5 linked regions of the Oryzias latipes genome follow. The protein of the gene in region 1 interacts with the protein of each later gene in a pairwise test. Links are inferred from orthologs where the notes say so. Each region holds a gene or a part of one and is shown in the gene's direction. Other genes may lie near its edges.

Region 1 (5,880 bases):
AAGAAAGGAAAAGAAGAAGAATAAATACAGTTTTCTGCTGTGTTACGTATTAATAGTATACCTTTAGTGAACCAGGTCTTCACATTCAGCCCAAAGTAATCAAGAGAAGTCAAAGCTTGTTCCATAAATTGATAGATTTTACTAAGGATAATGTCCCACTGAAGGGATTTGTAAACCAAAGGACATTAGAGATGCTCCTCTGTAAGCCAAATGTCGACTGAATAAGCTTGTTTTTTGAAGGTCATTTGGAGAAAGGAACGAAAATAGAACAAAGAACTCAAAATACTAAGAAGGAGAATTTTACATAACAGATTTATCCACAAAAAGCTACAGAGCTTTTGATTTAGAGACAATAAAATAAGTAAAATACATCCACAGAAATTGTTAAACTCTTTTACCCTGAGTTTTTTTTTGTTGTTGTTATTTCTATGGTGCCAAATGGATTAAAAGTCAGCGGAAATGAAAGGCCTACTTAGACTTTTGGAGTGCGGACAGGAACACTGTGCACTCTGGACACAGCGCACAGACAGATGTTGTATGGAAAAAGGGGCTCAGACAGCCAGATGGGGCAACAGAGGCTTATAGCGCCAATTAAAAAAAGCCAATATGCTAAACCAAACAACTGAGAACAAAGCAATGTATACGGTAACTCCAAATAACAGCATACTTTTTTGTTTCAAGTGTTTTTTAAGTCTTTGTTTCTGTTCCAAAAACTCAACACCTCAGATTTTTCAATGCTTTTACTGTCCTGACAATGTAAATTGTGTGATTGCTGGAAGAGCAGGACCTTGTTATTCTGATAGATGTCATGCACGGACAGAAAGATGAGGCCAAAGGAAGACTCAGATGATGTAATACACTCTGGCTGGCCTTTGCGCTGATCCTTCCCTGATCCCCCTTCCTAACATCTAGCATCGACCTTTAATGCATTAATCCCCAATATCTCTCTCTTGGTCACTCTCTGACTTAATCCAAAAGAAGCCATTCTGTCCAGAAGCTTGCTGTCGTGCCAAAAATGCATGTTTAACCCCTTCACGACCACCAGCTGCAGACAGATTTCATCTGCGTGTTACTATGTGGTCGGTAATCTTTCTGAGAAAAGGCAAGTGGATCCCTGGGTATCTTCTGGACCACCTGCCCACTCGAATTAATACAGCTTATCAGAGTCATCTAGCCTTTTCCTGTTGACAGTAATCAGTAATTTTGTTTCATAACATTACATTTGAGCTCTATTATGCAACACCAAAAGGATTTATTAGGATGGCTGATTAAACGCACCTTTTAAAGCTAATGCCCTCTTGGTTTCCATTTAACGTCTCTGACATATTGTCAGTAGCTGTTTGTTCAAATAAGCTTTCATTTTTAGAATGCAATGTCCACAGTCAGAGAATTTCAGTCTAAAGAGAATTAAACTGTTTTTATCACTAATAAAGAACTACTCACTGACAGAGTAAGGCAGCTTCTGCACTTTTAGCCTACTGACCAATAGTTTCAACGTTGTGCTTACAGCTCTGTAAATATTTGCAGGTCAAAAAGGTTTTTTTTGGTAACGTATTTGTGAACAAATTTTTTGAACATAAGGACAGGAAAATTAATAAATGCTTAAAGAACTTTATTTTTCCTGTGAAAGGAGCATAGCTTAAAAATGTGGTTAAAAGAATTCAACTTGTTTGGAAAAATTCCAGAAATGATTTTCTGCATGACATTAAAGGAACTATGCTAAAACTGAGGTAACCTTATAAGAGTCAGTTGCCACAAAATTAACCAAAGATTTCACCATATTTATAATCAAATCTTTTAAAAGCGACTTTTCCTTCCGAGAACTTTTTCAAAATTAGACAATGAATCTTAACTAATATCCTAAACAAAATAAATGCTCAAAATTTAAAGTTAAATAAAATAAAATAAAATGTCATAATGTTGGCATTATAATGTATCTTTAAAACATTGTATCGTAATATAATGTGACAGAAGCCACGCCTATTTATTTATGTCCCGTTTTTTGTCGATATACACAACGGAAGCTCGAAAGGGACATTTATAGGGTTGTGCAGAAAGTTCTGACTGACAGTCGCAGAGGTTCATGCTAGCTCACAAAGTTTCTGATATCTTCCTGAACGTATGACAAGATCGTTACATTTGCCAATGCTCTGAAACGGCTTTTACCTCATCATAGCAACACTGAATTTTGATAAAATGGGTGATTTTCTATCAACATTTACAAGACACTAGTAGCGCAGCTAATCTGCTAGCTTAGCTAGGGGTAGGTAGTTGTGCTTAGCCGCATGTGTGTCACTCATTGTTGTGCTTGTGTTGGTCATATAAAAATCGTGTGCAGGTAGTAGATCTTTTTATTTAAACATACGTGTGTGTATATTATGTTTCTATCAAAATCATTAATTATTATTTGATGGATTAGATGGATTAGAATAATTATCCAAATTTGCTTTTACTTAAATTCAGCAAAATTGGTGGATCAGACCTAGTTTTATAATCTTCCACGACTTTACGTGGTGAAGTAGTCCAAAATCTCCAATGAAATATCTTAAAAAATTAATATTGTGGTCAGGAAAAAAAACTGGAAATAAAGTCACATTAAGTTTTTCTTCAGAGGGTAAATATGGCCTTTAAAAAAGTCTTATATGCAGACTTAAATTTTTGGAGCAAAGTATATATGCATAAAAACGAATGAAAGTTTGCTCGGCTCGACCGAGCAAAAAAAGCTGTTGCTTTTAGGAATAAATAAGTATATTACAGCCTCTTCTTTGAAGGCATTTAAGGGCTATTATAGGTGATATTATAATAACTAAATACATGAAACCTGAAGATATTTGAGAAAAATGTATTTAAAGTTAGCAGTGATTGTTCGTTTTTGTAATTGGGGAACTTGAATTTTAATGATATGTTTTCGAAAGGGAAAAAATAGCACCCAGTGCCCACTTTTGTGTTCTTTTTTGTTTTATGCAGATGGTCCACTCATGTTGACTGGATGCAGGAATCTCTTTCTGATCTTTGCATCACTTGTACATAGAAGAACTTGGATGTGTAAAAGGTTCAAGCCTAAAAGTGAACTCCACTTCTCTGCCTCAGCAGCATCATTTTCTCTTCCCTCTGTCTCCTCGTCTCCTCAACAGCGAATCATCAACAGCTCATCCTTTCTGCATCCTCCTTTCTCCTCCGCCTTCCAGCCTCCTCACTGCTCCCACTTTACTGGCCCCATGGAGTTAAAGGAAACTTTGCAGGTTCTGGAGCAGCTCGCTCCTCTGTCTCTTGCTGAGTCATGGGATAACGTCGGCTTGCTGGTCGAGCCTAGCAAACCTCGGCCGGTCAAAACCATCCTGCTGACCAACGACCTCACAGATGCAGTCATGGCGGAAGCAGAGGCTTTGAGCTGTGACCTCATTATTTCCTATCACCCGCCGTTGTTCCGTCCTGTTAAGCGACTGAACCAGAAAGATTGGAAGCAGCGATTGGCCATCCGGGCGGTAGAGGCTGGGATTGCGGTCTTCTCCCCTCACACTTCATGGGACAGTGTTAAAGGAGGGGTAAATGACTGGCTGGTTGCAGGCCTTGGTAAGGAGCTCTTCTGGCAGGAAATTGCATTAGGCTTGCTGTGGCTGCATGTGAACCTGTAATCTGCTTTTTTCTGGGTTGTTCTTTGAATTTCAGGCAGCGGCCAAGTGTCTGTGCTGAGTCAGGCTCTTGGTAACGCCTCCCACTGTCATAAACTCGAGTTCACAGTGAGAAGCACAGAGGAACTAAACACAGTGATGAAGGAGCTTAAGGCCTGTGATGGAGGAACATCCTTAATCTCTACAGGAACCAGGTTGTTTGAGATTTTTGGGGAATATATTCAGAAATGTACGACGGAGTATTAGGGCCACAAAAAAAAAAAAATTAGAGCCACCAAAAAAAAAAAAAAAGTAAAATTACGAGATTTTATCTCGTAAATTTAGGAGATAAAAACTCGTAAATTTACGACTTTTTATCTCATAAATTTACGACTTAAAATCTCATAAATTTACGAGAAAAAAGTCGTAGATTAAGGAAAAAACACCGAAGTTGTCCGTTTATCGGAACCTAGCTTGAAGATGAAGTATGTGGAGCCTTTTGTGAAGCTTCATTTCCGGATTATTATAGGTTTAAAACAAAGAGATTCTGAACCTTTTGGCGACTCAAAATCAGATTAGTTTCCGTGTAGTAGTCTTTCCGGGGTTCAGTGTCAGTAAAGCGGAGTTTCATAGGTAAAATAAGGAGCTCAGAGACACGTTTGGGTGTAGAGGACCGCTGCAGCCTTTATTTTCCTTTCCATTCACATATCCTGAAGTTCATTTGTCTCATTACGTCATGAACCTGTCATCCCAACACCAATGCGGAAGTAAACAGTCTTACAAACGCCCCCTCCTGCAGATGAAATGTCCCGTTTCAGCATAAAACAATAAAGAGGAATGAAAATAGTGTTTTATATTAGCTTTGGAACGTTGAAAATGCCAAAAAAAAAAAGTGCTCCTCCTTTTGTGTGACGGAAGCGTCACACAGACGTAGAGTCTTGTCTTTGGTGGAGGAAGAAAGGATTCAAGCGAACAGCTGCAGGGACACCGACAACGGCTTCGTCGGGCTGCAGAGATCCTGCAAACCAACCATCAATAAATACAACTTTAATGAATCGTTAATCGAACAAATGACTTTCCAGACATTTGGAACGTTATCAATAAACATACAGCTCACCTGTTCAACAAAGTTTAGTCGGTCTTCTCTGCGGCTGCACGGCGTTCACCTGCTGCTCTGCATGTTCACTTCCACTGTAATCTCCTAAAATTACGAATTTTTTTCTCCTAAATTTACGAGTTATTATCTCCTAAATTTACGAGTTTTTATCTCCTAAATTTACGAGATAAAATCTCGTAATTTTACTTTTTTTTTTTTTTTTGGTGGCTCTAATTTTTTTTTTTTGGTGGCCCTAATACTCCGTCGTAGAAATGAGCTATGGCTGTACTAAAAAAAAAAAATTGGTTTGATGGTGGATTCGCTCTGATTATGCCGGGTTGTTTTTATACTAATGTGAAAATAATACTAGCATCATCAGATGTTAATAAGTTGTTTGTCTCGGTTATTACTTCTCTCAAACCAGAGCAGACAGCAGTGGGATCCACGCCAGCGTATTATGCAGCGACTCAGCACTGACTCCCAGCGTTCAAACTCTGCTGCAGCACAGCTGCTCCAGTCAGTCCCTCAGCATCCTGAAGTTAGAGAAGGTACAGCAGAAACACAAAAAAAGACCAAGTCAGTACTTTTTAAGACTCCAATAACAGTGTCCTTTTGTGATGCCCCGGTAACCTGGCAGCTCTGTACCTGCTTCACACTTGCAGCCGCCTCTGCCGGGCCACGGCCAAGGCCGACTCAGCGTTTTGGAGCAGCCAGTGACTGTGGCTGAAGCCGTCCAGAGGATGAAGTCCCACCTGGTGTTGAGTCATCTGCGATTAGCCCTGGGATGGGGGCAAACGTTAGGTAAACAAACATGGATTTAAGGACTCCCAACACTGTTAGCGCAGATTTTTGCACAGCACCAAATACACAAATACACAAAAAACCTTTCCCCATGTTTTTATGTTTATTTTTTTTAAAGAAAAAGATAAATATAGAAATGACAAATAGACCCATAACATGCTATTTAGCTATTGTTTATTAAAGGATTCACAAACACTGGTTTATGTCCTTTGTTTTTTTATTACTGTGATGTATTTTAGCATAAATGTATATAATTTATTCACAGATTTTATCACATATTTTGTTCATGCATATGTAAGTGAAAAATAGCTGTTGTGGTTAACTCAGGTGTCTTTGCAAAAACTTTATAAAATATCAATATTAAATATTTAA
Region 2 (6,145 bases), on another chromosome or scaffold:
AATCACACTTGAGCATCAGAGAACCATTAGATGCAGGCAGTCTATTCTGGTCGCAGCAGATGCAACGTTAACAAACTGCAGAGGCAATAATTCTGAAGCTGGACCTCATGACAGAGAAATCAATTGTGTGGAGTCCAAGCAGTCCTGACTTAGCAAGTTGTGCAGATTGTAAATGCATCTTAAACCATAATCGTTCACATTAATCAAGCTAAATGCATGCACATTTTACCAGAAACACCTGCCAAAACAGACAGATAAGACTCAACACAATTTTAAAAACTCTAGTTCTGTCTTGGTGCATGTTTTGGATCAATGGTGCTAAAAAGAAGGCTGTTCGAAAACTAAAATAGCCTCTTTTTTAAACACTTAGTTTCATTGAATATATAGAATTTTTGATGTTAAGAAATGCATTACAAACTAAAAGCAGCTTTAAAAGGGTGCTGATCTTGATTGCTATAAGATTGTGGAATTCTCATTTTTAAATCATTCTTACAAGATAATGCATTCAGTACAATTCCTGTGGAAAATGAGCAACATCATGGGTTGAAATTAAATGAGGGAATATATTTTTATGACTTTTGCTGCCATAAAAGAATATCATTTGGAATATTTTTAAAGTAAAACGCTGTCATTGCATCTGTGTTTAACAAATTCCACACTTAGATATTTCTAGCACAACACTAATGAAATGATTGAATTTCTATTCATTACTTACCCTTCCCTTGTGGTTTGACTGCGGTTTGTTGGTCTTTGTGGTTACCAGTGTCTCATGCCACTTGCTTCATAAAACAGCAAACACATTTTTTTGTGTTCAGTACAGCATAGACAACAGTTCTTTCACGATGCAATTGTCTTTAAAGCTTAAATTCAACATTTAAAATCCCTTATGATGTTTCTTTTTCAAAGCCAGAGGACTGAGAATAAAAAAAAAACTGAAAATAGAGCAGAGCATTGATTTATAGGTAAAAATGTAAAACTTTTGCTAAGATGGGCTCTTTACTCACAAGATGAAATCATCCATAATAAATGGTATAAATGGTTGGTAAATGCAAGTTCTAATTCTCTAACCAGAAATACTAGGACTGTGCTGGAATATGAAAGTTTACATTTACGCAATAATAGAAATTTATTTTCTAATCAGATTAACTGATTTGACACTACAACACATCTAGTAAATAAGTGAAAGTTGGCTTACCTGTGTTTTTTAGACATCTTTTCAGACACCGAATTAAAACAAACCTCTGTAAATGACAACAATAATAAATAAGAAGAAGAACTTGGTATTAAACTACCCTTCCAGCGAAAACTAAAAAACGAATAAGACAAAAACAAAGGGAAGAAGTCTCACATCATTGCAGACGGCAAAACCTGAAGAAGCAGAGAGCTACCTTCACAAAACCCCACAAAGATTTGACAAACCTCATTAGAGTTTTGTTGGATTAGACCAACAGATTAAAAGGATTTGCACACAAAACATTAGTGAACTTGACGCACCGACTTAGAGTTCAATACGTGGAGATGTCTGTGTTTATGCAGGGACAGAAAAGGGATTTTACCCCGAAAAAGATCCCGAGAGTAGTGACGAAGAGAAGACATTGCAATCGTGGCTATGAAAGGTAATCTGGCCTAATTTGAGCTATTGTAATCCATTTCTTTGTGCTTAAATAAAGATAATCTAAAGCCATGTTCATAAAACCCTTATTTCAAGATTGTTTTTAAATGATGCAAACATGATACAACAGCCTAAACAAAACAAATTGTATAATTTTTTTTAATTAAAATATATACTAAAACAAACGGAAATAAAGGAAAGTCTTGAAAAATATACATAAATACAAAATGTTGTAAAAATGCCATGATAACATTTCTCAAAATTTATAAAAGAAAAGGAAAAAGGGATGTTCTTCACTATCATTTTGAAAAACATTACAAGAAACTTTTGAATTCTGGTTAGATAATTTAATTGCATTCCTTTTACATTAAAAAAATATTACTGTGATTTATTCAATGTAAAAATAACCCTATATGTCCTTTTATTGAATTTCAAGTTATTATATTAATGTTGTGAAACTGATATTAAACAATTTTACGTAACCTTGTGACACGTAAACAAACTACACAAGAACAACTAACAATACAAAAACTGCAAAAACATTATTTTTAAATCCAATTAATATGATTTCATTGCATCATAATCATTTAAAAAAATTAAATAATTAGTCATTAATGAAACATTTTTTCAGCTTACAATATTTGAATTGGCCAGACCAAATTTTACAGAGAGGAAAAAGAATTAAACCTGCGAAACAAATAATAAAGTAGAATATTACTCACAGAAATAGAAAAAGAAACCTAGATAAAGTGGACGTCGGGATATCACATCCTCCAATTAAAACAATAAAGGTGACACATATACAAACTTTTGCATTAATTTCACTTTAAAAATCGTCGATTTTTATGTTGTTTGTCAGAAGTAGAAGATTGTGTTATTTTACGAAAAAAAATGGTTTAAGAAAAATAGATTTCGTATTTTTATTTATATGTTTCTATTTATTATAAGTATTTTTAACTATATAGATTTGTGTAGTTTTTATTGTGATTTTTAACTACTGTAATTCTTTAACCAGAAAACATTTATTTTCGTACCTTAATTTCTCATCTCTGACGTACATCGAGCTGATTGGCTAGTCCCCACGTGACCTCACAGCTGATTGTGTTGGATGAAGTGTTTTGCTTCAGTACGTTCATCGTCGTCTCATGTAGCCATTTCTGGTTATCAGCACCGTAGAGTAGCTGTAATACCCCCAATAATGGCTCAAGCGCATGCCTTTGACACCAGCGGCTCTCAAATCCAGGTGGAGCACGATAAAAAGCGCCGGCAGTTTGTCATTAGGCTCAATGGTAAGTTCCGAATGTAAACATTAGCACGCTCGCGCTAGCGCGAGGTTGGCTTGAAGGTTAGCTTTGTCTGCTTGCTAACATTTTTACCTTGTGGGGAACTCCAGCTGCCATTTCTGCCACAGCTGCGCTGCGTTGTTCGGCACCACATAGTCGCTGTTACTCCTTTTATTTTTCTATCAGAAATGTAGTTCATAAACCATGAATGTCTAGGCGGTTTTTCCCTCTCTTTGAGGGGAAAAAAACTTTAGTCGCTTCATTCAACAGATGCTTACTTTTTGCTCCAATCTTAAAAGAAAAGCTGTTTCTTTTCCCACCTATTACATTTCTAAGTGTTTTAGCAATATTACTTTGCTGGTTTATATGCATGGTGGGCTGTAATTTAAAATAATTTATGTTTTTACCATTTACAAATACTGCCTTAAATATTTGCTTTTTTTTCAACTTTAATATGTTTTTTTTTTAATTTATTCAGTTTTTATAGCAAACTCAATTACATAAAGATCTCATCAGTTTCTCCAAGTCAATTGTGAAAAGTGTATTTATATATTGAATGCCTTATTTCACTGAACAGTAATACATTCTATTTTTTTCACATCTTTATTGACTAAAGTTTTAATTTATCGTAAACTTTCAAACTACATCTTTGTACTTGATGTGTGAGACACTATAACGTGTAGGACCTTTAAAGTCCCACTCTAAGCAACTCTTGATCTATGTCCAAAGCATTCCCCGTGCTTTTTTTAACCATGACTGTGCCACTTTAAGCAAAAAAATAATAGTAAATAAAATTAAAAAAAAAAATCAGTATTGGGTTTTTTTTGGGGGGGGGACATATTTTCTGCAGAACGACAGTAGTTCATTAGCATTTTGCCTCCGAGTTGTGGGCGGAACTGTTGGTGCGAGTAAGTACAACGCTCTCCCAGTAGCCTACAGCCCCGGCCTAACATTTGCGGTGCAACAAAAATGGCAAGAAAATGAGGAACTATCCAGCTGTAAAGTTTAGAGCTAGATGCCAGTTCAGACAAGAGAGATGCAGACATCAACGGATTTAGTCATATACAAGTGGATGCATCAGAATGGAGCCGAACAGGGAGCTTGTCGCTTGCCGTAGTAGCTTTTACGTCACACCCACAAGCTTTTTCAAACTGGATTTGCTCCTGATTCCTAACAATTTGAATAAAGAAATAGTCAGAAATGCAACATGTTAAAAACACACGGAGTGTGTCTTTAAAAGGGTCTTTATGACTAGTGTAATGTTGTTCTACCGGCTTTTTGTGTTATGTGTGTCTCTTCGCTTTATAAGGTCAAAGGGTCAAATTTTTCTGGGTGGACCAGAACTTAGCAAACACAAGAAAGGCTCAGCTTTTGTCTCATTCCTCAGGATCCCATGATCGTGCAGTTCTTCTGTACGAGTATGTCGGGAAGAAAACGGTGGATTTGCAGCACACAGAAGTTCCAGATGCATACCGAGGGAGAGGCATTGCCAAACATCTAGCCAAGGTAGAATAGATGAATGAATTCTTGAGTCATTCTGAACGACAAAGTCCTTTTTGGTTGATAATTTGGCAGTTCACTAACTGTGCTTTGTGTAACGGCAGGCAGCCATGGATTTTGTAGTGGAAGAGGACCTGAAGGCTCACCTGACCTGCTGGTACATTCAGAAGTATGTCAAAGAAAACCCTCAGCCTCAGTACTTTGAACACATCTATCAATGACCCAACACAGCCCTGAAGAAGGGATCGAGACAGAGACTCGTGGGAGGGAGAAATACTGTGACGGCATGCCTTGCAGCCGCTGGACAAAATTCCACACACCGCCTCCCAAGTGTTGTTGAACATGTCATTGAGGGAATCCAGAGACAAAACCATCTCTATGATCTCACGCTGCCGTGAGGGTTGACCGTCCTGTCAAAGGGCCATTGACATCCATCACAAAGGGAGGGGGACTGGAGTAAAGGAGAAGCTCCGTTCGGTCTTGTTGTTGCGGAGCGACTGAAGGGTGGTGCCTGAATCTTCCAGAGTTTACCCTCAAAGCTGACTTGAAACAAGTGCAGATTTAAATCAGATCTGATAGGACTTGTTTTTTTTTTATGTCTTTCCTTGGAAATACATGCATTTCTTATCCTTGTTTGATATGGGTATAATGGCAACAATGGGTGCTCCACTTAAATTTAGATTTTGTAGACTTTCAAATTTGCCCCCTGTGTGTTATATCTCATTTTTGCCTCCTGATGTAAGTTTTGTTTTTTTTGTGCTAAAGTCTTCAAATTAATCATGAAACTGCAGCCATTTAATTTTTTTTTTCTTTTGTCATCTTTCACCTACATTTGGCGAGTCACATTTTATTAATAAATACAATTTTAAAGTGGAAGAAAATGTTCAAAGCCTAATTTGGTAATTATTTTCCACTGTAAAAGACACATATGGTGTTTTATTGGAGTTTTAAATTAATGATTTCATTGACAAAGGTGCAGGGATTTGTAAACTATTGATGTCCTGTCAATTTCTCTGTTTATTGCTCATCCTGGCATTTCAACGTTTGCCGTCTCTAACCAAAAACACACTCTTGAACTGAGGGCATTTCCATTATGTGCTGTGATGATTATTACTTTTTCCTTCCAGTGACATTTCATTTGCAATCTGCAACCGAACTGGTGGTTCATATGCCACTGACATTAAAATGAGTTCAACATTTGACAAATAGGATTATTGAGGTGAAAGTATTTTTTTTCTTGTAGATATTTTGCTGTTAACAATCTTGTATGTTTAGTTAAAAAAAAAAGTCAAAAACCTCAGGCCACTCAACACGCCTTGGCATGCAAGATTAAACTGTCTGCTGTGATGGCCAGCCGCAATAAGAAGTCCCTTTGGAAACATTTTGAGCAAGCGCCTAATGCCCAAGACACTGTCAGGTTTTTTTTTTTTCAAGTGGAGTTTTTGTGCTTATTTTATTGCTTCATTCAAAGCAAACCATGCCTGGTGGGAATTTTCAAGCAGGTTATTTTGGATTTGTTAAATATTCACATTCTTGTTACACAGTTTTATACTTGATAGCTTTTCTCTGTACCTATTTTAAATACATAAATAAAGATAATATTCATCAAATGTTGTGGAAGTGTGATTTTCAAATTAAGCAGGGGTGTATATGTTAATTTTCCTCTTGAATTAATATTGTTTTATGCTTTTAATGCATGAAAAAAGGTGGCAAATTACAAATTTAATGCAAAATTAATTTTTCTATATAC
Region 3 (6,110 bases), on another chromosome or scaffold:
ACAAAGGTCAAGTCAAAATAAAAAGCAAAAACACTTCTGGATTTGATGTTCATAATTTCCTTTTTTTTTCCTGATTCGCCTTATAACATTTAGTTATTTGGCAGTTTTTACATGTAATACTTCTATACCAATTAAAGGAAAATACAAACAAAAAAACAAAAGTCACAGCTGTGGAAGATGTGAAATGGCTAATCAAAAGCATGACTGGTTTAACTTAACCAAAATAAATAAAGAAAAAATACAAGAATTTTCAAGTGTTTTTCAAATGAGTTCACAACTAGATAAATGTAAATAAATGCAATATACATGTATTTCTGTTGTGTAAAACATGTCATGCTTACAAAAAAAGGCTCAGAAGCCAAAAAACATGTAACAGCAATAGGTATAAATATTTACATATTTTTTGATCATTTCTAATATTTTTATGTTTTATAACAGCTATGTTGTAGTAAACATTTTGAACATCTGTTATTCTTTGGTTATCTTCAGCTCTTCAGTGTTCAAAGCAGCACACAGGTTTTCTTTTCCTTGAAGGGGTTGGAGGAGGCAGCTATGCCCATGAGCAGAGGGTCGCTGCATCTGTGCTCTTGACAGTACTGGACCAAGTCTGCTGCAGTCAAGGAGATCTGCTTGAGCAAAGGACATTACAAAGAATATTACAATTTTACACACACACACACACACACACACACACACACACACACACACTTGGACTTTTGGATTCTTTCTTATTAGTTTGTTCCATCTGTTTTTTTCCCCCCAATCAAAGCAACAAAAATAATGTTTAAAATACAGATGTAAAATAAATTTTGAAGTGAGTGGTTTTCACGTACCTTAAATCTCACCATGCTTGCCTCCAGCCGGAGTTGCTCCACCAACTTTTGTGCCTGAATAACACTGTTGTTGCTGCAGCTGGGAGTTTTTCCAGACATCCCTTTCAGTGCAAGAGTTCTGTTTCAACAGTCTCTGCAGGAAAAGGGCGCTGGAGCAGTTTTTAAACTGACCCAGGGTGACCTCCCGTTGTGGACACTTTGCCCAGAGAGGCTGGTCTGACCTGTGCCCTCTTTTTATTCAAAGGTGTGGGCAGTTCAAAGACCCTGTGATAAGAGAAGGTCAACCGACCAAAATGTCAGCAACATCATACATTTTACTTCACAGGCATAGCTGATGAAAAACAGGAACACATGCTTTTTTCTATAAGAGTGCTGCAGTAGAAGAGAAATAGAATCAAGTTCATTTTCATTTTACCATTTGCAGCAAAATTAAAGTGCCAACTAAAGTGGCAGCAAGCCTATGTATATTCAATTACATATTCATTAAATTAATAATATATCAAATTAAAAGATTATACAAATTGAATTCTCTATCTAATGAAAACTGAATATTGAGAGGCTGTTGCAAAGAAGCGCTTCTTGAGTTTGTTTGACCCTGACCCTGATTATCCTGTAACCCTTCCCTGATAGAAATACAGATGTTCAAACAGATCATCTCCAGGGTCTGACATGTCTTTGAGGATGTTTTTAAGTGAAGCCCTTACCTTAAAGGTGCATTTAAAAGAAAGTCTCTTCAATTTTTGAACTGCTCATCTAAAAGTGATCACAGATTTCTGTTATACAACTAAATGTGTTATAATTTGGGGTAAAAATGTTACAAAAGTGGGCAAAATTTTAGATTTGTTTTGCGCTTTATTCAAACATGCTTTAAAAAACTTTATTATTAATTTATTTAATTCCTGCAAAATAAAAATAAGCAATGTTTCTAAATTGATTAAAGTTAATGTTCAAATTAAAGCATTATTTAGAATAGCAATTGATAGCGTAATAGTCAAATAAAACTTTTAAACACAAGCATGTACTTTTTTATTTTTTTAAAAGCAATGACAAAGATGATGGAAAAAAAAAAACCGGGAGAGTGAAGGTTTGCTTTTAAAAGGAAAAAAGTTTGTGCGGTTGGCATTGTTTGTACCTTCACGCTTTCCGTAGCTAGCTAGCTTCATGCTACATGTAGCCCATGCGATGGTTACTGGCTATGTTCCATCTGCGCATTTGCCGTCACCTGGCCCCTAATCCCATTATAACTTAGTCTCTCTTTGATAACAGGTATGTTTTAAAGTTTTCATGTATCTGTTTTCATTTTCACCTTGTTTAGAAGACTCTTTTAGTTAGCATCTGTGTTTCTCATCTGTGTTTATGATCCAAATTGTTCTGGTTTTTGTTTTGCTATATATTCAGATAGTTAATATTATGATTTTAAAAAAAGCAATGCTATTAGTAAATGTGTTTTTCAGCTTAATGGCTTTTTTGTCAACTTTATATTAATTAAAATGTGTTAAATTAAAATGAATTATAGTGCATCAAGTTTTGTTCTTGTAAAAATGTGCTTGGAGGAAAATGTACTTTAGTTTCTAAAGTGACCCCCCACCCCCCTTGTTTTTTGTTTTAAATAATCCAACTCAGAAACACAATGACAGTTTTTTTTATTGTTGTGGATTTTTTTGGTTGCAGGAACAATGTCAGACCACGCCCCCTCTGTAGCCATGGAGGCTGTCTTGAAGCCCAGCGATGACCTCCCTGACGACATGCCAAAAATCCGAGGCTATGACTTCAACCACGGAGTCGATCTGCAGGCGGTGCTGAAGTCCTACCTCACCACAGGCTTTCAGGCCAGCAGCCTAAGTTTGGCCATTCAACAGATCAACAACATGGTATGTGAGCCGAATAGAGAATAATTCCCTGTACACAGCTGTGCCATTCCTTATCTCCAGAAAAGTTTGTTTGCATCTTCCTTAAATATAAATTTAAAATGTTCAGTATTTTTTTCTACCTTATCTACTGATTGTACTTCACGTCAGACTTTAGATTATATTTATTTGGCATTGCTTTTGTGGGATTATTTTGATTAAATGTATGTCCCAGTGGCTATTATGAACTACTTAACACCTTACAGATTGAGAAACGCCTCGAGCCAATGGAAGCAGACGATGGAGATGAGTTAAAGCAACACTCGGGCTGCACTATCTTTCTGGGTTACACCTCCAATCTGATCAGCTCTGGAGTGAGAGAAAGCATCCGGTACCTCGTAGAGCACAAAATGGTACAGTTGGTTGTCATGCTTGTCCGAAACTGTCAACGCTAACAGACAGAGCCGTTTCTTACATTCTCTTACTTTGTTTTAGGTGGATGCGATTGTAACCACAGCTGGAGGAATTGAAGAGGACTTGATTAAATGTCTGGCTCACACCTATTTAGGAGATTTTAGTTTGTCTGGGAAGGAACTCCGGCTGAAAGGAATCAACAGGTTGTTATTGTAGATTTAATATGCTAATTTCTGACATCACTTGTTGGATTTAAAATGACAAAAATGAGGGATGGGCATTTTGACTGGCATTTACTCCACACAGCTCATCAACAGCTGCTCCTTTGGGTGCTGTTGTCACACTAAATTTTCTAGATAAATCTGTTATTTTTGGAACTATTTTTATTGTTGACTGTGAGTTTGCATTCAGTATCTATAGTCATATTTAAGCTGCAATCGCGCCTCACAGCAGCTTCATCAGGAACACATCAGTTAAGATACAAAAACATCACTCCTTCTCTGAACTCCTTCTCCTTCTGTCTGCCATGACTATAGGATTGGGAATCTGCTGGTTCCCAATGATAACTACTGTAAATTTGAAGACTGGCTGATGCCCATTCTGGACCAGATGCTGCTGGAGCAGAACACAGAGGTAAGGTTTTTTTTCTGATCAATTACCAACGTCTGAAACAGCAGTGATGCTTTAACAGTCACTTTTTAAAAAGATTTGCAACTGCAAATTCATTCCATTTCTCCCACTAGGGTGTGCGTTGGACTCCCTCCAAAATGATCCATCGATTGGGCAAAGAGATCAATAATACTGACTCTGTGTACTACTGGGCCTATAAGGTTAGCAAAATAGCAGTCGGTAACTGAAATGATTGAATGTGTTGTCATTTCTTAGCTTTTTTTAAGTAGAATTTGTCCTCATTTTATTTGCTCAACTGAATTTTTTGTGCCGTGTTGTTTCAGAATAACATCCCCGTGTTCAGTCCTGCTCTCACCGATGGCTCTCTGGGTGACATGATTTACTTTCACTCATTTAAAAATCCTGGCCTGGTTTTGGACATTGTAGAAGGTGAAAGCAAAAATCCCTTTTCTATAGTAAAGTTAGGGCTAAGTCGTCTCATGAATGTGGTGTTTGTTGCAGATATTCGCAGACTGAACGGTCTGGCAGTTTTTGCCAAGAAGACCGGAATGATCATCCTGGGAGGAGGGCTGGTGAAGCATCATATAGCCAATGCTAACCTTATGGTAATTGACCTAGTTCGTTAGTTTTCCCTTTTTCTCATTTACGTGGCACTTAGCACAGAAAATAACCTTTGTGCAGGGGGAAATTTAAGGGGAATTTCTCTGAAATTACACTTTTTTATGTCAAATGTTGCTTTCAACACATATTAAAAGAGCAGTGGTTTCAATTTTTGTTAACTGCTATATATAGTTTTATTGTGTCCTTTAAAAATACTGCAAAGCTTTTACGCCATTTCTAACAGCATGGGATGTAAATGTGCTTAGAAAGAAAACAGTCATTTTATTCAGAAATTAATGTAGTTTTTAATTTTAGATGCACTTTCTTTGACTAAATAGAGTGCTAATTTAGTTTTCTTTTTCTGACCTCCTTTTATGAAGCACAAAAACATGTGTATCTATCTATCTATCTATCTATCTATCTATCTATCTATCTATCTATCTATCTATCTATCTATCTATCTATCTATCTATCTATCTATCTATCTATCTCTCTATCTCTCTATCTCTCTATCTCTCTATCTCTCTATCTCTCTATCTCTCTATCTCTCTATCTCTCTATATAGAGATAGAGATAGAGATAGAGATAGAGATAGAGATAGAGATAGAGATAGATAGACAGACACAGCTGTTTTATTTTCCCCTCTCTTGACGCGTTCTCTTTTTGTGGATCCACTGTAGAGGAATGGAGCAGACTATGCGGTTTACGTGAACACAGGCCAGGAGTTTGATGGCTCTGACTCTGGGGCTCGACCTGATGAAGCCATATCGTGGGGAAAGATCAGAGCGGATGCCACGCCTGTAAAGGTGCGATCAAAGAATTCCTCACACAATGATTTTTAAGACTAAGATGCTCTTTATTGAGTAGTCATTACAGTAAAATCCTTTTAAGAATTTAGTTTTTTTTAACTTGATTTCCTCTCCACCTTAAATGACTTTAGTTAAACTCTTCTTGATAAGGGTTTCTGGTCTGGTGCTCAAGGCTTAACATCTATGTGGTTTGTTTATTTTTGCATTTTCAACCATGACATGTTGAAAGTTTGGTTTATTTAAACCATCATTTAAGAGTTTTATACTCGTATTTTTAATAATTTTCGTTTTACCTGTGATTCCTATTTTGGCCACAAGGTGGTGCCATTTGCCCTGTTCGTCTGTCGCACAGACCATAAATGAGTTTTTTAGATTCTCACAGCACTCGTTTGGCTCCACAGGTGTACGCAGATGCCTCTTTGGTTTTTCCTCTGATTGTGGCCGAGACCTTCGCTCTTCACTTCAAGAAGCTGACTGCTGAAAAGAAAGCAGATTAATGGTGGTTTTCTTTCAAGTTTTCCTTCCCTCCCAATTTAATTTATGCATTTAAATCCCCTTTTTCATTAAAAAAAAGTTACACTTTGGGCCTTGAAAAGATGTTGAAAGCCTCTTCAACACTGCTTTGCACTCAACATTTGGTATGACATTTATTCTGTGTATTTATAAATATTTAGGTAACCCTTTTCTCATTATTTTCAATTTGCTGGTTTCCCTGTAAGTTAAGAAACTGTGAAACTTTTGTCACAGTCTGAAATTCTTTTTGGTGTTGATCCCGACATTTGATTTCACGTCTTTAGTAGATGCAAGCATCACCTTTTATTTTCATATATTTTTTAGGAAGAATTTCGAGTTACATGTGGCATGTCTTTAGGTATATTTGTATAGCTGTATAGGTAAATAAAAATGCTATTAAGCAAAAAGTTAGTGAAAAGTGTTTAACTGAGATTAATTCTAAGATTTAAAAAAAAAAAAATTTT
Region 4 (6,050 bases), on another chromosome or scaffold:
TATATATATATATTAAATGTTTAAATAAAACACAAGATAACGTAAAATACACTGAATTAAAAAAAAAAAACAATTAGTAATTGCAACCTGAAGGAAAAAAATGCAAAAGAACAGATAATCGAAAAACAAAATAAACATAAATTTAGTATTATAATGCCTATTTTATGCCTATATCTAGCAGAATTGTATCTTCAGTAACTTAAAAAAAACGGTTTAAGAATTAAAATTATAATTACATTTTATACGTTCATATACATATACATTACCCATATATTTTAATTCATATAAAGTTAGAAATTCTGTTAAAATGCAGTTTATTTTTCCACATGTATTCTGATATATTTTATGGATATTATGTACATTTAGGAAGTGTAAAAATGCTATAATGTTTTGTACGCATGCGCAATTGTTTTACGCCATGGGCGCTAAGCTAACAGTTGACGTAAATTTTTCAATTTTACTATTATTTTGTTCTACTTTTTACACATTCAAGATGCCGTTCATGATCGTTGATAACGCTTAGGTCAAACAAGTAAAGTACATAGTAAAGTACCGAATGAATATGAGCTAATGTTGGTTTAAAAAAAAGGTACCAGTCCTCTCAGACTCAGAACAGAACTAGCTACACCAAAAGAAACGTTACGAAACTAGATTATCTGTTTATTTATTTAAAGGCATGGCTACAGACATACTAAAGTGCATGGGATTTGTAATATTACTACTTTATATGTTTTTTAAAAAGAGCTTAACGTTGTTAAAAGACTGTCTATCGATGATCAAGCCAGCTCAGCTGAGCTAGCTAGCTACGAACGAAGTGCTAATTTAGTTAAGTAAGTGTGGAATTTTTAGACACTTACATCAACAAGCTGATTCTCTTCGAGGAGCTTTCTTTTTCTTGCTATTTCAGCTTTAAGTATATCCATTTTTACAAAGCTAATATGAGGAAATTAATGGTGAATATATCCAAAGTGTCCACGATACAGAGTTGTTGTGAAGCCGAATGGACCGGAAAATATTGAAAGACTGAACTTTCATTTTAAAAGTTGTGCGTTTTACTGCCGGGTTAACCTTTCAAAATAAAACGGCTTTGAAAAGACTGACAGACGTAAATGAATGATAAAGTTGTTTTTCAGTAAGTTGTTCTATTGCATTGAGGATTGCAGAAAAATTCAAGAAATCATGTTAGTTTTATTTTTTTCATCTGTTTTATTTTCAAAGTTTTAATTTAAACATTCCAGCTAAAAAATGGAAAGGTTTGAAACCATCATTTAAAAAAAACACATTTATTATGAAAAAAAAGCAACATGAAGCAAGGATATGAAAACAACAACCACAAAGCTAGAAAGCTTTGAGAGAGAGAACTTTTAAATTATTCCTTAACAAAATTCCGTTTTTGTCCTAGCAAACCACAGCTTGTTTGTGTTAAACTTTGTCACAAAAATTGGCGAAACGTTACGGGTTCCGTAAGATAATGGCAACTATTTAGAACTATTTTTTAGTCAATCTCATTTATTTAAATGTTAAGCCAGTTTAGTTCATCTTTTGGAGACCGGGGGGGGGCAATTTTACTTCATCTGTGTTGAAGTAACTTGATTGAAAGTAACTTAGAAATCGTGCAATCCGAATTAATAAAACTGTTTATTTTTGTCAAACTTTATACACAATCTATCTCGTTTAATGGTGGTCGTTCTTGTCCATTCCTGCTTTGATATTGTGTTGCAGACCCTGCTAGATCGGCTAGTAAGTCACGTGGGTTTTTGCTGCTTCTATTTGTTTCATTGTGTCCATCATTTGTCCATAAGGTAAAAAGAAGTGTTGGCTGATATGAACATCCCATTTACAATAACTCAAAAAGCCTGAAAGCCCAAATTAAAACAAATAATTTTAAGTTCTAAATGATGAATTCAGAAAACTATACTGCGAACCAAAGCCAAAGAAATCTCTTTATTATTTGAGCTACTTTTCTAAAAGGTTTTTTTTTTGTCAAATTGAAATCCTGTGGTATGTCAGCTGCTTTAAAACAGAGTAAGTGTATTCATTCATTCACTTTTTCAAAAGTTTCATTTTTCTAATCAAATCAAGCTTTACTTATAGCACTTTACAACTCGGGTCACCCAAAGTGCTTTTATTGTTTGGCATTATTTATTACGTTTATCTATATTTTTGAGTTTTCTGCTCCAGCTGTCGAATGTCCGGCTTTCAGTTGTCTTTTTTTTATCATTGCCGTTAAACCAAATAGAGGATATTTAATTGGGGAAGAGAAATGAAAAACAACGATTTGGGTTTAGACCGCCTTTATTTAAACGCTGGCTTTTGTCTGAAGTGACTGGCAAATATGTGCCGACCTTTTTAATGAAACATGCCATCAGGTGGCGCAAAGGGATATAACCAATTCTTATATTAAAATCATCAATTCATTTACATGACCAGAGGGAGGGTCGGGGTAGTAATATCGGGGGAAATGGATCCACTCAACAATATTCTTCTGTTTTTCGGGCTGGGAATCTGCTGGTGAAAGGATCGGACGCGCTGACTGGGAGGAAATTTAACTGTTTAATAAGGCAAACGGACAGACGGTGATTCCACTCAGGGTTTCGGTCCCTGGCTGGTCGTTCTGAACGGCGTATTTCAGCTCGACCTGCGGGAAAAAGATGGAATTTGGAGAAAGAAGGAGAAGGAGGAAGTCGCAAAGCTTCAAACTGGTCGCAGATGAAGGTAAGCTGCTGAATGGATGCAGGAGACGCGTGTCTGGCTGGCTGGCTGTGTGTCTGCTGCTGTGCGCGTAAACAAAAGCGGCGGCCACGGCATGTCTGGGTTTGGAGGGTTCAAATCGTCATCCCCAGCTTCTATGTGGATCGTGACAATGAAGGATGTTCTGATCTGTTGCACATCCAGAACAGGAGCGCAGGATGTTCACCTTTTTTAAAGCTGCAGCCTCTCTCGAAAACTACTTCATACAACCTACAGGTGGTGGTTTCTGCATGAGATGGGAAGGGGGGTGGGGGTGTCTGCTTTTGTTGACAGTCATTGCGGCTTTTTTACACAAGTTTACAGCAACAACCTTTTGTTTTACTTGCAGACCATGATTCTTCACTGAATTCCAGCAGCAAGGATGGCAAAACTAAAGATGCAGTTGTGTCTGATGGTATGTGTCAGATTGAGCATTGATTTGTCACTTTACCATTTCTATACCTGCGCCCACACCCATTTTTCCTCAATGCAGTTTGGCTGGAAGATGAAGGTGTTGAGATCAAGAGGCAAATCACAGGAATGATGAGGCTTCTGAGGGACAAGACTGGCCGAGTGTATCAGCGTGTTGTTGCAGATTGTGACGGCACAACAAATGATTCCCAGGATAAGCATCTGAGTTGGATTCACCAGCCTCCATTCCTGTCTGTGGTACCAGATGACCATCAAGGCAACAGCTGGCTGTCAACCGGACACTCAGAGCTTTCTGTGCCATCCCCATCTATACCTGTCCCCAATGGTCCAAACTATGGCCAGTACAGCACTCGCTCCAGATCCCTCAGGATTTTCAACAAAACCAAGGATGTGAGCAAAACCAATGAACAAAATGGTAAAACAATAAACAATCTGTGAAAAATCTATTAAAATTGACATTAAAGTAGGGTTTTTTTTACATTTAGTAAATCAAAGACAGCAATTCAACCATTTTTTTCCAGTCAGAAAGTCCACTTTGCCAATGTTTGCATGGATCGTATCACTCATTAAAGCACCTCTGCATTTCCAGATGTGGCGCAACCTGCAGTCCAAGAAAGCTCGTGCTGTATGTGTAACTGTACAGGCACTCTAGAGGCTATATTGCAGGAATTGCGTGCCATGAGGAGGCTGATGCAGACTCAGAAAGGTCAGAAAATGTGGCCAAATTGCACTGGGATAAACATAAAGAAGGCATAACAGGTTTTTGTCTTTCATTTATTTAGCATCCTTTGGAAAGCATCAACAAGCAACACCAGTATGCCAACCTCGCTTTAGCCTGGGCTCCACTCCGCGCAGTCTTCACAGAAAAAGAAAGTCTTACTACAGGGTGGCGCCTCTTACTGTCTCCAGCAGTAAAAAAGTTGTTCTTTCTCCTGTGGAAAGTTCAGCGCATCAAGCTGCACCACCAGCAGAATCTGCAAAGAGGGAAAAATGTGAGAAACTGGACTCGTCAGTGCTGAACATGCATCCCATTTCCCCTGATATTTCGGCACAGTCACAACAGAATGATTCAGGAATAGTGAGCAAAATTCATAATCCTACCTTAAGCCAACCAAAAGAAACTCAAGCATCAGAGGTAAAACCTTAATTTGTTTCTCTGTAAAGTTTGTTGCAAAATTTCTTAGAAAGTTTAGACTTTGTTTAGTTTGTTGATTTAAGTTTAATGTTTTGCTAAATTTATCAAAAAACAAAAATGTAAAGTAATTGATATAAATTGTTGAACAGAATAAGAAAGTTGCTTTTTTTAGAACTTTTTACAAGACACACAAGATCTAAAATTTCTGTAAAGACTAAACAGACTCCAAGCAAAATGTCATGAGACTGGCTTCTTTCTGAGTTACACCTGGTGTAAACTTTATCTTTATTGAGCCATGTAAAATGACCTTAATGTATTGTTGTACAATGAAGTCTCAACCTTTTTGACTTCAGTTCTTAAACCCAGTTCTGAATTTCAGTTGTTCATTTCTGTTTAATTTTTGGAACGACTAATTGTTTTGTTCTGTATTCCATCACAGAGTGAGGTCCGTCTTGCAGAGGAATACGACGTGTTTATATCTAAAGCTCAGCTAGATTCCATCTTGGTCAACTACACCCGCTCTGGCAGTCTCCTATTTCGCAAACTGGTATGCATTCAGCTAATTTGGAGCCCTCTTTTTTTTGTGTTATTTTTAGTTTCTATTTTTTAAATGACTATTTCCATTTTTTGATCCCAAAATATCTGGCAATTTTCTGTTGAAAGGCTCACTTTGATCATCTTTTGAGCTGTTTAAAAGCATTCTCAATGGTCTTTTAATTATGATTATGCAGTTTTTAGCCTTAATGCAAAATACCTGCGTTGTTTTCGTGGAAATTATTTTTGCAGAGCGGCAGTAGTTCATTAAAAATGTGCTTCTGAGTTGTGGCTGTGAGAAACCCCGCCCCACTTCCCATCTCCGCTGCTCAAAAGCTTGTGGCCCGCCCAGAATGGCAAATATGTTCTACTCCTTATTCATATTTGAATAAAGAAATGCTGAGAATGCAAATTTTTAGCTTAATTTTCTTTTATGTCCGACGTCAGGAGAAAAATCCCACAAGAAACACAATTTTCCTTGGAGTGGATCTTTAACAAAATAGAAGTCAAACAGAATGGTCAGTAAATTTGGTTTTATTGTAGGTCTGCGCCTTCTTTAATGATGTTACTTTGGCTAACTCGTTGCCAAATGGTAAAAGGAAGAGAGGGCTCAACGATAACCGAAAAGGCTTGGACCAGAACATTGTTGGTGCCATTAAAGGTAAGAAAGTGGTGGATCCAAAACCTCTCAGAGGTTTGTCTTCTTCTTTGACTGGTTTCTATGACAAAGTACACTCTGTTTCTAAAGAAACGTTTATCACGTTTTAGTCTTTACAGAGAAATACTGCGCTGAACACAAAATAGAGAAGCTGCCTGGACCTCGGGATTGGGTGCAGATTCTTCAAGACCAGATTAAACTTGCCAGAAGGAGGCTAAAAAGAGGTCTGCTACTATTTTGTATACCTTTCGTTAACGATTTAAATTTAGTATTTATTCCTTTATTGAGCTATGTGCAATTTATTTGGTAAATACTGACTAATTTTTCTCCTAAGTGCTATTTTCATTATCTTCAGATGCAGCAGAAACAGAGGAAAACTGCAATGGACCATCCACAAGTATTAACCTCATTTGAAGTACTCCCATGTATAAAGCAATGAAAGTGACTCACCCTTTCCAGATTGTTTGCTTTGAAATTTTTCACCTTTCCTTTTCACCTCACACCAGTGCATCACCTTGCACCATCTTTCCATCGGCCGCCGTCTGGACACTCAATAGCCTC
Region 5 (6,022 bases), on another chromosome or scaffold:
AATTACAGGGGGACTAGTAAAAAACTTGAATACATTGTACGTATTATTGTATACATTGTTGTACTTTATTGATTTATTGTGGATATTATATTTAAAAATGTCTTTAACAATCTGTTTTCAATACTTCTTTTATGATTCAATAAATTGTGGACTCTGTGAATTATATTTATATTTCAAAGACAAAAAAAAGTTATAACTTAACACATCTGTAGCTATATATTGATTGGCCAGAAGAAACCATAGTCTCAAAGGAATGACTGGGCTTGAATGGGATTATTTCCATTTTAGCTATTAGCACACTTTGGCTTCAACTTGTTTTCATGTATCAAAAACAGACAACAGAATCACAAAAACAGTCTGTAAGCCTGCAGACAAACAGATGGGATGGCGGAAGAGGACTCCCAACCCATGTGAAACTATCCAATTCTGTCAACGTGACTAATTATCACTGGTATATTTTGAAGTGAAAGGTCCCTGGTTCAAGTCCCGGCTGGGGGACCAGAACCAGAACATCAAAGTTGGGCCTTTCTGTGTGGAGTTTGCATGTTCTCCCCGTGCACGCGTGGGTTTTCTCCGGAGACTTTAGCTTCCTGCCGACGTCCAAAATCCTGCTTCATGGGTTCCTCTAAATAGTCCCTAGGCGTGTGTGTGAGTCTGCATGGGTGTGTGATTGTGGCAGCCTGTTGATTGTGGGGGGTTATCGGCATTGTTTGTCGTGTCATTTTGTTTTTAAATTTGATTATATTTTATGCAAAGCACTTTCAGTGACATGAGTTGGAAAAGTGCTATATAAATAAAGGTTGAATTGATTGGATACTGTCCAAAAACATGCTTCATAGGTTAATGTGTGTCTCTGGATTGCCCCTAGGTGTGTGAGTGAGTGAGTGCATGGCCCTGAAACAGACTGGAACTTGTTCAGGGTGTCTCCTGCCTTTAGCCCAACAGTAGCTGGGCTAACTCCAGCTGCACTGTGACCACAAAAGGGATTCAGCTGGTTCTGAAAATTGAGGCACGATTCTTATCCATTACAATGCATCAAAGTATATAACACAATACAGAAACGGCAGGTGGGATACATATGTTACGCAGAAACACAAGGCCAGATATTATCTCTCCAGCTTGACCTGAATCTGCGGCTGGAAATACCTGTATGTCCACCAGAGCAGGATTGTTTACTAGCAAAAATAAAACTTTATATGAATTTTTGTATATTTAAATGGAAAGATATGTAAGTTCCAAACAGTGTACTTTTATTTAACAAGAACTGGGTAAATTAATAAACAATTGAATAACTACATTTTAGAAACAAATCAACTTGAAAATAAGACATCTACTAAAACTCATATATTTTTAAAATGTATAACTTATTTTTAAATATCTACCCAAGTGCATTTGGTCTGTGGTGTGTGGTAATGGCTTGCTGAAGTTTTCTGATAGTACTTTTAGTGTGCTGTTGTTTTCACCACAGTGGTTCACTGCTGGAAGATCTCAGTAGTTTCAACATAAACTTAAAGAACTGAGTCAAACAGACACAATAACTGAGAGGAAATAAAATCAGTTGTATTCTTCCATACATTGTTTTGGCTTGTCGGGCAGCTCTTTACCTGCAGGCCTCTGTTGTTTTCTGACCTAAAAAGACAGTCAGCCCAGCCCCTCCATCACAGACTTGGGAGGTGGAAAATTCCACTGATGTTGATTACAGGAGTCACTGCTGGTTTTGTTCTGACTTTAAACTTTTTCTTGTTGCTGTTTGCTTGATATATGTCCTATTCTATTTATGGATTCTAGAGTAAGTGATTCTTCAAAGAAAATTACTTTAACAGTCTCTTTTCCAGAGCACACATATGTAATGTCGCTGCGTATCAGCCTTTCTGCGGCCGCTGATTGGATGAAAACTGACCGCAGGGTGCCGCTGATTCGCCACAGATGAGGGGGCTGCTGGAACTGGCCAATAGCGTTCGAGCGCGAGCCGGGTGTATAAATAGTGTTGAAACAAAGGGAAGGAGTTAAACGGCAGTGACCCAGCCGAGGGTGAGCGCAGCTGAATGATCTTGTCCCGACAGACGCGTCCGGACCAGAGGCTGACTGTGGGGATAAAGCCACTCTGACGCGAATGAAGAAACTTCTCATCTTCCAGTTCACATACAGAGGACTTTTGACTAAAGGAAAAAAAGGGAAAAGAAGAAAATGGAGTATAAATTACGAAAAGCAGAGCCCAAGGACGTGCCAGACATATTACGACTCGTGAAGGTACGTAGATATAACGTCAACTACTATTAGAAAACAAAACAAAAAAAACCGGTCTGAACTGGACGCGCTTGTTCCGGTTAACGAGCCCTTTCTGCTGACGTCACGTTTCCCGCTTTGGAAACGTGTCGTCGACGGATAAAAAATACGGGAACTTTTTAGGAGAAGTGTGTCTGACAGCTGATGGTGAGACGGGAGGAAGGTCGGCAGGATGTCCGGCCGGCAGCTCAGCCCGGCGGCCTTTGTTTTTCAGCCAGACGGCTGGTGACCGAGTTAACTTCCGCCTCTCCATATATGGCTCTTCCGCCCGGCAGCTTAGCTTCTTATGGAGGCTGACCTCGGAGAAGTGTTATTATATGGTTGTGTAACGGCCGACCTGACACAGATACACACGTTTGACACAGTAACGCAGCTGAGGGGATGTCAGAATTTACAAACACAAGAAAAAAAAAACAACTAAAAACCGGAACAAAGAAGGAAATAAACGGCGCTTTTTGACACAACTTCATAAAAGCGGAAGTTGAAAACTTATCTGCCTAACCCGTTTAAAACTCTGCTGCAGACATAAAATACAGTACAAAGCAGCTGTCTTTAATAATAATCTCCAGCAGAAAACAAACTTTTATTTAGTGTTATTTGTCATTAGACGACGTCTTTGTCATCTGTGGAACATCCTGAGTCATCACTTTTTTTGGCTTCTGTCATGAACTTTTCTCTGGAAAAGTCTGCTCTCAGAATGTTTTTATCAACGCTCTGCTCTCATTCCAGGAGCTTGCTAAATACGAGGAGATGGAGCACCAGGTGGCGCTGACGGAGAAAGGTGAGTGTCCGGCGGCGTCCGCCCGCACGCCGACAGACCGTGTTTGATCATCGCCTGCTTCTGTGCAGATCTCCTGGAGGATGGATTTGGTGAAACGCCGTTTTACCACTGCATCATCGCTGAAATCCAAGGAGAGAGCAGCAGTGAAGGTAGGCGTGTGCCGCTCTGCTCAGCTTCCTGTTTGTTGGCAGGAAGAAGAGCCGCCGCCGGCTGCAGTTTGGGTTTAGTCAGACGTGTCGGCTCACGTGTGCTCTGGCTGGAGGCTCAGAGCAGCTGCAGGTCTGTGAAGGTTTCCTCCCTGCAGAATGGCCGGTGACCGCTGTCCCCCCCCTTGTCCCCATACAGATCCTAAGGTGGGGGGGTTTGCCATGTACTACTTCACCTACGACCCCTGGGTGGGCAAGCAGCTCTACCTGGAGGAGTTCTACGTGATGAACGAGTACAGAGGTGAGAGCAGCTCCTCCTGTCCTCCGGTGGGTCCCGAGCATCCCTGAACTCCTGTTGTCTCTTCCAGGTCTGGGGATGGGCTCGGAGATCCTGCGGCACCTCAGTGACGTGAGTTCGATTCCTGCTGCAGCAGCAACTGTTGATCGTTAACAAAACCTACAGTGTTTTTTAATCGATACCTTTTAGAATAAAAATATCACTTCTTGTAACATTCAAAACAAAATATATAAACATTGTTTTTTCTTATGAAATCCTGTAATGAAAAGACTCAGAACGTCTGTCTGCTCCGTTCCTCCTGTTGACTGCATGATGCTTCTGTGTCTGACTCATGAGCTGAGGCCTCCTCCTCCTCCTCATGTGACCAGCTGCTCTAACGTCTCCTTCTCTTGCTCCTGGTCCAGCTGGCGATGAAGACGCGCTGCACCGGCATGATGTTCGTGGTGGCGGAAAACAACGCCCCGTCCATGCAGTTCTACAAACGCCGCGGCGCGGAGGACCTGTCGCAGGAGGAGGGCTGGAGGCTCTTCAGGTTTGACAAGGACAGCCTCCTGAAGATGGCCACTCCAGCTGAAGAATGACAGGAGGTCCAGCAGGGCGGCGCAGGAGCAGGAGGAGACCCAGGAGTTCCAGCTCCACTCCCCTCTGCGCAGATGAAGCATGCAGATGTTTCGCTGTAATGGTTCTGGTGCAACACCTCTCTCTGATTTCTGATCTGAACTTTCCCACCAATAAAGAAATTCCTGATCTCAGAAGCTCCAGCCTTTCTGCTGTTTGACAGATCCGCTCATGTTCATGCAGCTCTGGACGTCCTCAAACGTGGACCTGCTCATCCGGGTTGAAGATGAGAACCTGAGCTCAGAAGAAGAGCTTTGAGAGGCAAACGGGGTCAGACTTGACCTGAAGGCTGAGTTTTAACATGCAGGCCCGTTAGAGGATTGTGTTAAGAAAATGTATTTCCATACTCATTATTTTCCATGTATTTATTTAAAGTCTTGGAGTTTGTTAGCTTAAATCCTATTATCATACCAAATCATAGTTTGTAGGCATGCTGGCTGGATGGTTTTTATTATTTTTAGTCTGGTGTTAACATGGTCGTTAGTCTTTCAGTTGATGGAACTGTAGACACTATATTCTTTGTTTTTCTTCAATGACCCTGGCATGCACTCGCACTTGTCTGCAGCCGCTCAGCTTCATAACAGCACTCAGCTCCCTGGGAGGTGAAGGCCGCAGACATGCAGCCGTGAGGAAAGAAAGGCGGAACCTCCAAAACGCTTGAATGTAACCGTTGTCTGTCTGCTCCTTGCTTGCAAGTAAAGCTTGAAAAGATAAACTTTTGAGTCTTATTGAATCTTTTTGCATGTCTGGAAAAACTGTCTGTGAGCCAACGGCGTCTTTACAGCCCGCCTTCAGAAATCTTTCCTGACAAGAGGGTTGTGTCTGGAAGGTCATCCGATTTCAAATATGCAAATCAGACCTGTGATGCCCATTTTAGAGGGAGGAAGCTGATTGGCTGAGGCGACCCCTGAAGGGAAAAGCTGACAGGAACAGGAGAAGATGTAAACAAAGTTCCTTTTGGACCACAGATCTGCTGAAAACCAGAAGCAAATGGCTGAATCACAAATGCACAGCAGCATGACATCATCAGGTTTGGGGGGTTTCTTTCAGAAACTAGCAAATAACCCTTTTTTTTTTATGATTGGGTTTGTAAAAGCTGATCAGACCGTTTGAATGACTCCTCTCAGCAGTTTGATTTGATCACTCAGCAAATGCAAACTGACTAAACAGTAAACCTGGGGAGCAGTGAAGCTGCTGCTCCTCTTCACACAGGTCAGACTATCATCTATTCCCCTGCTCTTGTTTTCAGATTCGACCTCAGATTAGACTTTAGATTAGACTTTAGATCAGCCCGTTATCCTCAGATAAGTGAGAGTGATTCCACAGGAGTCAGCGCCTTTAGTCTGCTCCTGATAAGACGAAGAGGAAATGTTCCTTTATGGCGTCTGTCTGGATCCTCTCCTTTAGATTAGACTTTAATCTTAGAAACCCAACAGAACCAAGAATATTCTGTTTGCCTCTGGAATCTGTTTCAAGTTAAATAAACAAAACAATTACAGTTGACAGACAGAAATGTCCCCAAAAGGGGCTTTTCTCCTTCACTTCCTGATGTTTCTGGAAGGTCACAGAAACGTCGGCTGTGTGCCACAGGTCCACCCTGCCGAGTGGAAGAGTTTGTTTTCTTCTGCTTATCTTGGTTCAAGAACAGTCCAGAAGAAAAACCTGCCCCATAAAAGTGTTGAGTAATGGAGCTCAGAGGTGCAGAGGAAAAACACAGAAAAGGAGTAAACTTTAACCTTTCAGTGCAGGAGGAGGACAGTCCCATCAGAGGAGCACCAGGAAGGAGCTGCAGCCCTCGACGTGTCTGACTTCAGTTATTTATTTCATTGAGGTCTTTCAGGAAAACACCTCAACCTTCTGAGAAAGGCTGTTTTTAGCTTCTATGTTCTCAGG

Evidence for each region.
Region 2: the proteins of nif3l1 (region 1) and natd1 interact in binary tests that used the Homo sapiens proteins (3 or more experiments, as listed by UniProt). The two-hybrid records come from large-scale screens. The link is inferred for Oryzias latipes from reciprocal best matches to the Homo sapiens genes NIF3L1 and NATD1.
Region 3: the proteins of nif3l1 (region 1) and dhps interact in binary tests that used the Homo sapiens proteins (3 or more experiments, as listed by UniProt). The two-hybrid records come from large-scale screens. The link is inferred for Oryzias latipes from reciprocal best matches to the Homo sapiens genes NIF3L1 and DHPS.
Region 4: the proteins of nif3l1 (region 1) and bend7 interact in binary tests that used the Homo sapiens proteins (3 or more experiments, as listed by UniProt). The two-hybrid records come from large-scale screens. The link is inferred for Oryzias latipes from reciprocal best matches to the Homo sapiens genes NIF3L1 and BEND7.
Region 5: the proteins of nif3l1 (region 1) and sat1 interact in binary tests that used the Homo sapiens proteins (3 or more experiments, as listed by UniProt). The two-hybrid records come from large-scale screens. The link is inferred for Oryzias latipes from reciprocal best matches to the Homo sapiens genes NIF3L1 and SAT1.

What each region holds. Positions count from the first base shown.
Region 1 is NC_019877.2:7,709,136-7,715,015, forward strand, and holds the start of nif3l1 (NIF3-like protein 1), read left to right. Parts: upstream 1-2,012; 5' UTR 2,013-2,083; coding exon of another isoform or gene 2,084-2,119; intron 2,120-2,967; 5' UTR 2,968-2,978; coding exon 2,979-3,573; intron 3,574-3,669; coding exon 3,670-3,826; intron 3,827-5,131; coding exon 5,132-5,255; intron 5,256-5,344; exon of another isoform or gene 5,345-5,369; coding exon 5,370-5,508; intron 5,509-5,880. UniProt on the Homo sapiens protein: May function as a transcriptional corepressor through its interaction with COPS2, negatively regulating the expression of genes involved in neuronal differentiation.
Region 2 is NC_019866.2:14,550,499-14,556,643, forward strand, and holds natd1 (protein NATD1), read left to right. Parts: upstream 1-2,700; 5' UTR 2,701-2,720; coding exon 2,721-2,901; intron 2,902-4,282; coding exon 4,283-4,401; intron 4,402-4,499; coding exon 4,500-4,616; 3' UTR 4,617-6,005; downstream 6,006-6,145. Other genes in the region: myosin-9-like, read right to left, coding at 716-779, 1,196-1,212.
Region 3 is NC_019866.2:13,272,485-13,278,594, forward strand, and holds the start of dhps (deoxyhypusine synthase), read left to right. Parts: upstream 1-1,967; 5' UTR 1,968-2,099; intron 2,100-2,504; 5' UTR 2,505-2,509; coding exon 2,510-2,704; intron 2,705-2,946; coding exon 2,947-3,093; intron 3,094-3,175; coding exon 3,176-3,297; intron 3,298-3,630; coding exon 3,631-3,727; intron 3,728-3,837; coding exon 3,838-3,924; intron 3,925-4,047; coding exon 4,048-4,153; intron 4,154-4,225; coding exon 4,226-4,329; intron 4,330-5,004; coding exon 5,005-5,130; intron 5,131-5,534; coding exon 5,535-5,630; 3' UTR 5,631-6,110. Other genes in the region: guanine nucleotide-binding protein G(I)/G(S)/G(O) subunit gamma-12-like, read right to left, coding at 501-626, 834-932. UniProt on the Homo sapiens protein: Catalyzes the NAD-dependent oxidative cleavage of spermidine and the subsequent transfer of the butylamine moiety of spermidine to the epsilon-amino group of a critical lysine residue of the eIF-5A precursor protein to form the intermediate deoxyhypusine residue.
Region 4 is NC_019864.2:20,635,021-20,641,070, reverse strand, and holds the start of bend7 (BEN domain-containing protein 7), read left to right. Parts: upstream 1-2,378; 5' UTR 2,379-2,651; coding exon 2,652-2,715; intron 2,716-3,079; coding exon 3,080-3,145; intron 3,146-3,223; coding exon 3,224-3,577; intron 3,578-3,751; coding exon 3,752-3,868; intron 3,869-3,944; coding exon 3,945-4,297; intron 4,298-4,736; coding exon 4,737-4,844; intron 4,845-5,374; coding exon 5,375-5,492; intron 5,493-5,599; coding exon 5,600-5,713; intron 5,714-5,844; coding exon 5,845-5,903; 3' UTR 5,904-6,050. Other genes in the region: prpf18 (pre-mRNA-splicing factor 18), read right to left, coding at 858-923.
Region 5 is NC_019878.2:2,835,172-2,841,193, forward strand, and holds sat1 (diamine acetyltransferase 1), read left to right. Parts: upstream 1-1,980; 5' UTR 1,981-2,187; coding exon 2,188-2,250; intron 2,251-3,015; coding exon 3,016-3,067; intron 3,068-3,135; coding exon 3,136-3,216; intron 3,217-3,412; coding exon 3,413-3,514; intron 3,515-3,581; coding exon 3,582-3,622; intron 3,623-3,915; coding exon 3,916-4,092; 3' UTR 4,093-4,844; downstream 4,845-6,022. UniProt on the Homo sapiens protein: Enzyme which catalyzes the acetylation of polyamines. Substrate specificity: norspermidine = spermidine >> spermine > N(1)-acetylspermine. This highly regulated enzyme allows a fine attenuation of the intracellular concentration of polyamines.